Tribolium castaneum: one gene and its partners. The protein of the gene in region 2 purifies or fractionates together with the protein of the main gene of each other region. This does not show direct contact. Links are inferred from orthologs where the notes say so. Each region holds a gene or a part of one and is shown on either strand. Other genes may lie near its edges. The genes, in order: Cep97, Neurl4 and Ube3a.

Region 1 (3,758 bases), on a different chromosome or scaffold from region 2:
CAAACACCAGTTGATCACAAACGGACGGTAATCAAATCCACTGGATTAAGTTAAGAAATTGAATAAACAATAAAAATGAGCAAACAAAATATAAGCAATGTCACAAAGGATACATGTTAGTGTTGCCAAAGTTAACACAAGGGTTATTAGCGATGGAAATATTTTGTAGATTAACAAGATGAACAAGCTGAGAAATTTCATTCAAATCCTCAATGTTATTATTAGCCAAAGTCAGGGTTATTAAACTAGTAGGCAGGAAACGATCACTCTGTCTAAGATGATTAATTTTGTTATTGTGTAGAAAAAGCTCCTAAAATCAAACAATCACAACAAAATTTCCCGAAAGAGGGCGCTAGGTTCAACAATTAGCATGGTTACATGTATCTGATCACCATGCTAACGAGAGAAGATGGCGCCAAAAGAAAATTTCACACAGAGACAAGGTAATATAAATTTACAATACTTTCTGAAACAACAGCAAATCGAATAGATTTTTTAAATACATTTTATACGCTTTCTCAAAACTATAAAAACGCCAACGTCGCATTTTCTCTCAAAATTAGTTATTATAGATTATTTATAGTAGAATTTTGCAACAGCGCATTTGCATTTTTTGAATGAAATGGAGCACAAATTGAGAGTTTCTCAAAGTGTGTCGTTGGGATTTAGTTTAACACAGAATTCTTTTTCTTATACAGAAACTTTCAATTTGTACTTCATTTTTCTCTCCAAAAAATACAAATGCGCGGTTGCAATTTTACTATGAGCCGAAATGGAATACACACGGTGATTCAAAAGTCTCGAATCGTCTCTTGGGCAGCTATAAAAAACATCAGAGTCAAAGTTCCTATGGCAAAAAATTGTGTGAACCTTTTTTCACGCTATATATCGTAGCTTTCCAAAGTTAGGTTTTTAGATTTGAGGTTTTCAGGTCAAATTGTTTTTAATTTATTTAGCGAAAACGACAAATCATGCAATCATTAAACGGACATCTGTTAAAAAATCACCAATCAGCGATATTCCAATCATTTAATACACGTAAATTTGGCAAATTATATAATAATTTAAATCTGACATGACTAAAAACAAAAGAACAACAATTAAAATAGCTGCTAAGGAAAACAAATACAAAAATATATTAAAAATTAAATGGCAAGTTGCTTGGAAAAAATGGACTTTCTTTACTGAACGACGCATATCACCATACGAGAGTTGGTTGGATACGTTTGAATCACGCTGTAAGTATAGCAAAAATAATTTCATTATTGTATTGTCTTCCCATTTATGAAATTCTTCAGTTAGATGATTTAGAAGTACGATGAGTTTAACATTCAACGCTGAATGTTTTTTTTAACCTTTCTTTCCTCCTGTTAATTTTAACTGTTCGTATTTTTTAAATTTGAACATAAGGCCACTGAAAAATAAGTACACACCAGTTGATAAGAAGGGCAGTATGTACCTCTTGTTGCTTATCTAGAGTGAGAAAGCTGCCAGTCTATCTTACCTTATCTCTGCACCGCACGAAATTTCCCGAAAGAGGGTGCCACGTTCTACAATTATCATGGTTACGATACGGTAACCATGGTAACAACACAATATGGCGCCACATTTAAGAGAAACTCAATTATCAAGCAAGCTATGAACTAACCTTTAAATCTTTCAAGAATGCTAAATCATTGATGTGCGTAATGTTATTCTCCGACAAATCTAAATGCTCTAAATTCGTGTTAGTATTGAGATGTTCAATAGTTTTTATACTATTCCCAGCCAAGCAAAGCCACTTTAAATTAACCAGATCCTTGAGCCCCTCGATTGTGAGTATTCCGTTATGAGCGAGATTCAAAGTGTGCAGAGAATGGAGGCGACATACGCCATACATGCGCAACAATTGATTGCGCACTGCTGACAGCTACAAGGGGGCCCTTAAAACGTCGCGCACTTAAAGCTACAATTTTACCTTCTGTAGCCGAAACAACGAGTCGATGTTATCCAAACGTTGCAGTTCGTTATCGTCGAGTATCAATGTTGTTATCACTTGCGATTCCTGAGGCGAGAATTTGGCGAGTTTTTTGAGCTTCTTGTTCGACAAATCTGATATTTCCTCTGAAACGGCAAATCACATTGAAAATTCACTACAAATCCATTTACTTACCCATTTATATTTAACTTATACGCATTTTTTTATTTGCTAAATATTATTGACAGGTAGGTGATGGCGCTAATAGAAGGACGGCGATGATCAGCTGATTATTAAATTGTTCCACATTTTAAAATTGTGAGCAGGAATCGTTGTGTTCCTTTCACTTATAGAAGTTTAACTTATTGGTTAGAAAATGTAAGTGCATGTGTTGGATTATATTCCATATAAACAATAACGATCACGTCCTATGGTTAACTTAATTAAAAACGTTCAAGTCTAAAGCCTGTCATCGTCAGAAAAATCAATAACAGTTCAGCCTGCTTTGGTTGATTTCGCTCGATTTGAGAAACATTCCGTCAAAAATAAGTCAAAAATTATATGTTTGCTAAGATGATGCTCTGTTACCTTTTTAAGCCCGTTTGTGAACTAGGATTTCAAGTTTCTTTTAGGACACTGCTGGAATAGACAGACATTCAAAAAAATTTCAGATTAGTTGAATATTACTTTACTTTTAGTTTTGCAAAGATTGTGTTTTTTAATGTTAAAGCACGTTTTTGAAGTTATAGCTACATCTGTTTTTATATGAATGCGGTATCGTAGTAGGTATTAAAAGATTGCCGCTTCTTTCCAGAAAAAACGAACAATGCTCGTATATGATAACATTGGTCAAATTGGTTTTACTGATTGCCTGAGTAGATAAAAATTTGTACTTTTCAGAAATTTCTTAAAAATAAAATAATTAAATGCAGAAAATTTAAATTCCAAAACCACATGAGATCCTGCACTCTTTTATATACAGTCCGTATAATACATTATTTTGGACAGAATTTGTTAGAATTCACAAAAGGATTATAAAATTGGATCTAAACAATTTCAAGCTGGTTCATTCGTTTTGTGAAGAAAAGACTATTTTATTTATTTTTGGTTTACTTGTTCAAAATTTTTAAAAATAATTCGTCAGAGATGGTGCCGTTTAAATTAAATTCTCAGTTTTTATTGACTAAAAATTACCGAATAAAATGAATGATTGATTTATTTTGGTTTGTTGTTCAGTTGTACTGTTCTGATAATGAACGCATCTGTTTTTCAGTTTTACGAGCTCCCTTATCAATTGACAGCTGACATGACGCATAATAGTTGCCAACCTTGCGCTGGTAAAAATCAATTTTGCTGTTAATTTATCTCCGAAATCAATACAACACGTGCCCCCATATTGGGGCTTTTTATGCATTATTATACCGTCGTTTAAACTGTGTACGTGTTGTGTCTTGCACCGTGCTTAAGTAAATGTTAATGATTTGGGGTAAGTTGGCAGTAGTGACACCTAATGAATATGGAGTTATTTGCAAACGAAGAAAATGACTTGGTTTTCTCAAATGATTAAAGTTTATTGATAGAAAAACGGTGTAAAGTACGAATAGTGCAACGCATGTTTCGTTTCAGTGCAATAACATTCGAAACGTAAAGTGTACAATTGTTGACATTTGTAATTTGGTTGGAGAAGGTGGAAGAAAAATCTCTTGGTCTTGAAAAAGTGGCTTGAATTGGTCAAACTGGAGCGTTTACCGGAATATCTCCGCGATACCGTGGATTGGTTCATGGGGTGAGTAATACCACT
Region 2 (3,121 bases):
GCGTATCAAATACGGCTTGATTCGCTTGTGTTGGTCTAGAAAGCGCGTCATGTCCACAACTAGGTCTTTGACGACGTACATGTGGGGCAGGGGGTAGATTTTGCAGTCACCTTTCGGTTCGATTCGTTTAGTGCAGGCAAGAGCATTCCTGCCGTTGATGTTCATGGCACACGAGCCGCACACACCCTCACGACAGGATCGGCGGAAAGTTATAGTCGAGTCTTGCTCTCGTTTTATTTTCAGCAAGGCGTCAAGGATCATTGGGCCACAACTGGAACCACAAATTAATGAAATTGTTTTTGCAAACTGCCAAGTACTCGTTAAGATCAATCGTGTATTTCTGCATGTGCGGCTTCTTCTTACTTTCTTTCGTGAAGCGATAAATTGAGAAATCCTTCAAGCGAGGACTTTTGGGGGCAGGGGGAGCACTCTTTTCTGCCGGCTTTTTTTGAGCTTGTTTGAAGTTATGTGCGGAAGTTGTAACAAATCGGGCGCCAAAATGCCCCCCATAATTTTTCAAAATTACTTTGCCGATTTTTGACATTTGGAGTTCGTTTAGAGACGTCAAAATATTGCCATTGTATTTTTTAGACTTCTAGTTTTTTATCAAGGATTGAAAAAAAGCCAATCATTGTGGTCAACATGTTTTATTCGGTCCGTAAACAAACTTAACGTATACTACAGTGCCGTGTGTCTTGGATAAAATCTGCTTGTTGTAAATAAATACATCGGTAACCTATTCTAAAATTAGTTTGATGACGAATTTGGGAAAAATAATATCACATCTTCGACTTGTTCCAATCATCAGACTAAATTCGTTAACATAATCACAGCTCGACAAAAAAAATTCCGAATGTTTAATTGCACACACCAATCGCTACACATTTAATTACATTCAATTTGAATCAAAAGCGAATGTAGAACAATTGCTCCGGTTTCTTTGGTGCTCCATTCGGGTGGATCCCTCGATACGGAGTAGGCGCTCGGTTTGACTAACAATTGAAAAGCGGCATGGACCACTCGATTGTTTGTCTTGTACCCTGAAGTCTTGCAGTTTTGTAAGGTTGGGTAAAAAACGACTTGGACATCGTCTTCTTTCTGTGCCACTAGATTACACCACTGGGCCTGGCCTTTGGTCAGCGGCTGCCCTTTGTCGAGTATACAACGCACCGCCCCCACCTTACACACGTAGAAGGCCGTGTGCCACTTATCGGTCGCTGTATTGGCTGAATTTTTCAGAGGAAATTTCACCCAACCCAGGAGAGAGTTATCTTTCTCGCCTTTTATGCAAGTCGAGCAGTGGCAGATCGGGTCGTCTGACGTAAAATAATTATCTATGAGAAAAAAAAATCGTATGGGATTAAATTACGTAAGTGGGCGAACCTGGCAAAAGGAGGCGTTTCTTAAACGTGAGACACTCGTCCCTGTAGGAACAAATCAGCGATTTGATTGGACTAGGCGGTGAGGGACGCGACACGCCCCCTGACGATGTTAGACTAGTACTTGCTGAGGGTATGGGTAAAGTCAGTCGCTCCTTTTCGCAACTTTCAAGGTCCGCCTTTTCGTAATCAGTGACCGAATTTTCGGCCACCTCTTGCGCAACATCATTCAAGATTTTAATCTGCAATCAATTGCTTCACCACGAATCAACAAACGCACCTTTACCTGTTGGCACTGCCCGTAGAGATCAAAAACAGCGTAAATGGCTTGCCCCGTTTGAAAAACAAAAGACAAAGCTTCCTCCTCAATCCCATTCACTAACAACTTCAACCCGGAAAGGGTCAACATAACACCCACAGTATCGCCAACTTGTAAATTACTCAAACGTTGGCCGAAGTTCGAACGTGACTTGACCCCGTTCACCGAAATCCAATCGTTTGCGACAATGCAACACGGTGCTTTGAACGCCAGTGCATTGACAGGTAGATTCAAACGTTCAGGTGGTCCCGAAACCACGCCCACGATAATCGACGATTGCCATCGCGTCTCCAGTTGGTCGATTATGATCTGGACCTTTGAGCTGATCTCGAGGGCGGGCTGAGCGATCACCACGCCCTGATTATATGAAGCGACACGTCTCGCAGTCGTACGACCCTCAACAATCTCGATATTTCGTCCGTGGTTGTCGTGAAATTCGTAAATTGTTGACACGTCCGGATCTCTGACCAGTTCGATTTGTTCTTGGTTGCAAAGTTCGAGACTGTCTTGCAACCGTGCGCTGTTTAGGGACCACAAGGGTGACTTGTGACTGGTCACGGCGACGGCATTACACGACCCTTTCAGGTCTACAACCACGTATAAAGTCTCAGGGAGAGGGGGCAAACACAAGTTTAATTCTTCACTGTTTATGAAAATTTTTAAAGCGCCATCGAGCGTTCGGAGTAACCCGATTCGGTCCCCGACGTTCAGCCAATGCAAGCTCGGAGTAAATAACTGAATTGTTTTGTTTCTAAATCTGAGTTCGTTCCCGGTGATGTAACAACATTGTTCGAAGATATTAATGTTGGATTTCCCGGGAGGTGTTTCCGACACGCCTATGACTATACTTCCGGCCAAATGCTCGACCAATGAAACTATAGTGACCTCGAATAGCTCCTCCCTTTCGAGCGTTGTGGCGCTACATACCACCGCCCCGGTTAAATCTTTCGTGCGTTTGGCCAATCGGCCACCGTCACTCAAACACACGCCTTTGCCGTGACAATCAGAGAAGATATGTAGATCGGTTTGAACCGCCGGTTGGACTACACTAACCGCTTGCAAACTAATGGAAGTGTCCGACCGGGGACAGTTATCTAAATTTGTGGGAATAGGAACAAGTGGGGAGACACAAGGAATGCTAACTTGGGCACATTGCCCGTAGAGATCGACAACGGCATATACCGTACTGTGGGGGACAATACAGGCGGGTCCTTGGGGGACACCGTCTCTGTAAAACTCCAAAGTTTTGTCGCTTGAACGCACGACTCCAATTCGAACGCCAGCGTCGAGAGTGTCCAAGTCGCAGGGGTAGTTGTTTTTGACCGTGGTGCCATTTTCCATAATGGAGGATCCGCTGAGCATCCAGGTGTCGCGACAGAGGTCGGTGGCGGTGCCCGGAAGCTCGATATCGTCGGGGCGAACG
Region 3 (3,758 bases), on a different chromosome or scaffold from region 2:
TTCAAAAGGCTGATTTAACCCCGATATCTAGAAGTCATATAGTAATGATTGGTTTTATCTCTTTTTTATACATTTTTTTACATAACTAGAACTATCATTAAAAAGCAGTTTTTTTCTGATCTCAAAAACTAATAACCTCACGTAGAAATCTGCGTTTGCAAAAATGCTTTATTAATTTTTCTGTGCATGTGAATTATTTCGGAATTTTTTTACAATTCCATACAATAAAATTATTATCATTGAACTAAAAATAGGTACATATTAATACTAGTATTAATAAAACTAAAAATATGAAAACATTAATTAACCAAAATGTTATTCTAAAACAAACCTTGCTTAAATATTTTGCACAAAAAATTTTGAAAAAAATCTACATACCTACATTAAGAAGAAAATTGCTAAACTCTGGTGATTACTACGAGTAATTTTTATTTGTTTTGCCGACTTGTTCGATCCTTTTCAACATATTCCGAGAAAATCTTAGGTATTTCAAACAATGTAATTCCAGAAAAATTGGAATTCAAGGTTATTTGACATTATTTGCTTCTTGCTGGGCTTTCTCAATCTCTATCATCAGAAATCTTCATGACATCATAACAAAATAATTTTTTTACCGAAACTAAATTAAAATTTAACCTATTGTTTTCCAAAGAGAATAACAGATTTTGTGGTGTTCCAAACTTTTGATCATTTATCCGTTTTTGAGCAAGGAACATATAAAAATTACTAACAAATAAACACTACTTCAAAAAGAAAAAAAAACACTGATGTTTAATGCATTACTAAATTCAGTTCAAAAAAATAATAGGATAATTCTGTGTATGAATAGTACAAGGATACAGAAACATCGTGTTTCACATCTTCCTGTCTTCAGTTGATCGAGGTTTATTTTGCCCTCTTTTCCGCTTACCCCGTAGTTGACTGTTGAAGATTCTCGGCGGCAAAATTTGTCAAAGTAAAATCAATATTCGAATTCGTTAAAAACTATTAAAAAATTTATTTGTTTTTTGAACGCATTCTGTTCGTACCACCACCGTGCATTTTTCCCGTACACGTTTTTTAAAATATTATGAATATTTGTTTAAAATTTTAATAAAAAAAAATATCAATTTTTTTTCAAAAAAGTGTTATATTGTCTCAAATTCCAATTATTTAAAAGACTCAATTCAAATAAATTTCATTACTACTTGTCTTTGTCGCACATTTCTATTTGCCTCTTGTAACTGTTTTTCTAAATTTTAAATCTAATACATTTTCCAAGTGAAAATTAAAAGTAGTCTACTTTAAAATCGATTTGTAGATCAACATCAAAAGGAAATGTAAGTAAAAAATTTATTTTTAATTATTTTAAAGACTTGAGACAATCGCCCAACATTAATGATTTAAAAAGACAAAAATGACACCATTTTTGATCCAATTTATTAACTTTTTTTTTTCAAAACGGTATAGAAAAAATTCGCACAAACTGCGTTTTAACTCAATCATGTACTTATTTAAACTTAAAAAATCAAAAATTCCTCCATTTCTTTACAAATTTTGAGATTTTTCGATTAATTTACAGCAAAACAGTGATTTTGAGATAATTTGGAAATAACTGCGTTTCTGAAATACAGGGTAAAACGCCTTGAAAAAGGCAAAATCCCTCCTAAAATGATCGGAAAAAAAAATATTTTTTTTAGCTTAGGGTCGGCGTATGTTTTTATTAAATTTGGCGAAATAACTAAATATATAAAAGTAAATAATTTTTCGACTTTTCATTCCGTTCCAACAAAGTTTTGAGTGTTTACAAGTTTAAGTGCTTGAAACAAAAAATTCTCAACACATTTTTTGGCAAATATTAATAACATTTTTGAGATAAAATTTACTTGTTATACCAGTACAGCTGCGTTACCAACCCTTAATAAGCGTCATTTTGAAACGCATAAAGTTCTTAGAACAGAAAAAAATAAAGAATTAAGCTCAACTTTCAAAGACACCATCGGAATTCAGAGAGGTTTAAGAAGACGTTGGACAAAAATACGACCGTGTTGTGGATACTTACCCATTTTATTGTTAGTCCTCTGTATTTTGTTAGGGTGTCTCTCGCACAAAATCGCTTCTTGAGAGAAGAGCTGAATGGCTTGCGCAGCCGCCTCGTCTGGCGTGAGTGGCTTGAGCTGAAACTGGCTTGTAGCTTCTACTTTTAAAATATAAGGGGGCTACCTGTCCGCTGGAGGCGCAGTACTTGTTCTTGCAGGCGGGGTTCCCACAACCGTCGGTCAATTGGTAGAAATATCGTTCAATCAGCTTGCGGGCAGCAGCACGTTTCATCTCGTCCTCCTTATTGTCAGGGGTAGAGGTTTCGTTGTTGGTGCTAGACGAAGCCTCTTGGTTTATCCTGCAAGCAGTTTTTCAGCTATAAGGGGGCACGATTTGGATGACATTCAAATTTGACATTAGGAACATAACCTCAAAACAGATCGGGAAAGAGCTAGGATTAAGGGGGTACCTTGAAGCGTCGTCTTGGTCAGTTGGTGGGTCTGAAGAGCTCATAGAATTTTCTTGTGTAAATAAATAAACGCTAAAACACTAGAAAAATAAAAGATACAAAAGGTGGCGCAAGGACTTTAGCACATGGGGTCCCACATTGAGGAACGGCGAGAGAACTTTGAAATACTTTGTCGTAAAATTTAAAACGGATATTTTGTTTGTTTTTACTTGAGGCTCGAAGATTTTACGACATTGCTAATGATTGCTCTGTCATTTCGAGTTGGGGACTTTCGAGCGCACCTGGTGTCGAGACTGGAAGTGTGGTCACACTGATTGTTTACAAATTTCAAATCTTCCTGCCACGAAAAATAATTGTTATTTACTCGGTTATTTATTGTACAACACGATAAAATTTTATTCCATCCTCCAGTATTTCGATTGAATTACTCAGTTATTTTGATTAACAATTTTAAACATCAAAAAATTCAAAAAAACGTAGAAAACACAAAAACAAATGTTGGGAACAATATTTCCATAGACGATAAGATTTCGTTTTACCATGAAGTCGCAGTGAAAAAAATGCAATTTTATCATATAGGGTAGAAAAAATATTTATAGTATTTTAGAACAAACCTGAAAATGAATTGTACAAAAATAGAATAATTGTCAAATACCACTAAACAGCAAATTAGTTTATCATAATTAAGATTAATAAAAATAATGCTAGAATTAAATAAATAATAATGATCAATTTTCATTTCTGAGTGCCGACAAATGAACATTGGAGGCTTCATACGCCACTATAATAAGCTTTCAACTTTACCTCTTGTCTTGTTACCTCTAACAAAATTACCAACACTAACAAATTTATACAAAATCGATTTATCTGATGCAGCTTTGATCTTTTCGAATTTGTTTACGTACGTATCAGTCGATTGTTGGCTACCTGATCAGTAACAAGCTCTAAAATGTTTTCAAGGCAGAAACTTGTCCTGGCATTGCTTTGTATTTTTATTTTCAGTTTCCAACAAGTGAGTGATAAAAGTTAGTTGGTAGCAAAGTTAGTTATTAGTTTCGAAAATATAAATTTTACCGAGCAAAGTATGTGTGGCTACTAGTTAAAATAATTATTTGCTTGCAGGTTTCACCGAAAAGTATTATCGACAAAATAATGATAAATTTCTGTGAGAAATATGGACGACTTTCCAACTCTGAATCGGGAAAGCTTCCGGATAGTGAAATTACTTTGAAGGAGAACAGTGTTCCAGATCCAGCTATCCTTCTGTTCA

The links.
Region 1: the proteins of Neurl4 (region 2) and Cep97 purify together in Homo sapiens (affinity purification with western blotting; 4 studies listed by BioGRID and IntAct, with this or other methods). This does not show direct contact. The link is inferred for Tribolium castaneum from reciprocal best matches to the Homo sapiens genes NEURL4 and CEP97.
Region 3: the proteins of Neurl4 (region 2) and Ube3a purify together in Homo sapiens (affinity purification with mass spectrometry; 3 studies listed by BioGRID and IntAct, with this or other methods). This does not show direct contact. The link is inferred for Tribolium castaneum from reciprocal best matches to the Homo sapiens genes NEURL4 and UBE3A.

Annotation. Positions count from the first base shown.
Region 1 is NC_087402.1:12,399,913-12,403,670, forward strand, and holds the start of Cep97 (centrosomal protein of 97 kDa), read right to left. Parts: upstream 2,347-3,758; 5' UTR 2,248-2,346; exon of another isoform or gene 2,182-2,247; 5' UTR 2,157-2,181; coding exon 2,153-2,156; intron 2,104-2,152; coding exon 1,958-2,103; intron 1,910-1,957; coding exon 1,649-1,909; intron 311-1,648; coding exon 114-310; intron 41-113; coding exon 1-40. UniProt on the Homo sapiens protein: Acts as a key negative regulator of ciliogenesis in collaboration with CCP110 by capping the mother centriole thereby preventing cilia formation. Required for recruitment of CCP110 to the centrosome.
Region 2 is NC_087398.1:5,348,900-5,352,020, forward strand, and holds the end of Neurl4 (neuralized-like protein 4), read right to left. Parts: coding exon 1,666-3,121; intron 1,622-1,665; coding exon 1,384-1,621; intron 1,335-1,383; coding exon 886-1,334; 3' UTR 632-885; downstream 1-631. Other genes in the region: succinate dehydrogenase [ubiquinone] iron-sulfur subunit, read right to left, coding at 1-271, 318-544. UniProt on the Homo sapiens protein: Promotes CCP110 ubiquitination and proteasome-dependent degradation. By counteracting accumulation of CP110, maintains normal centriolar homeostasis and preventing formation of ectopic microtubular organizing centers.
Region 3 is NC_087400.1:8,646,306-8,650,063, forward strand, and holds the start of Ube3a (ubiquitin-protein ligase E3A), read right to left. Parts: upstream 2,784-3,758; 5' UTR 2,533-2,783; coding exon 2,489-2,532; intron 2,378-2,488; coding exon 2,203-2,377; intron 2,157-2,202; coding exon 2,042-2,156; intron 1-2,041. UniProt on the Homo sapiens protein: E3 ubiquitin-protein ligase which accepts ubiquitin from an E2 ubiquitin-conjugating enzyme in the form of a thioester and transfers it to its substrates.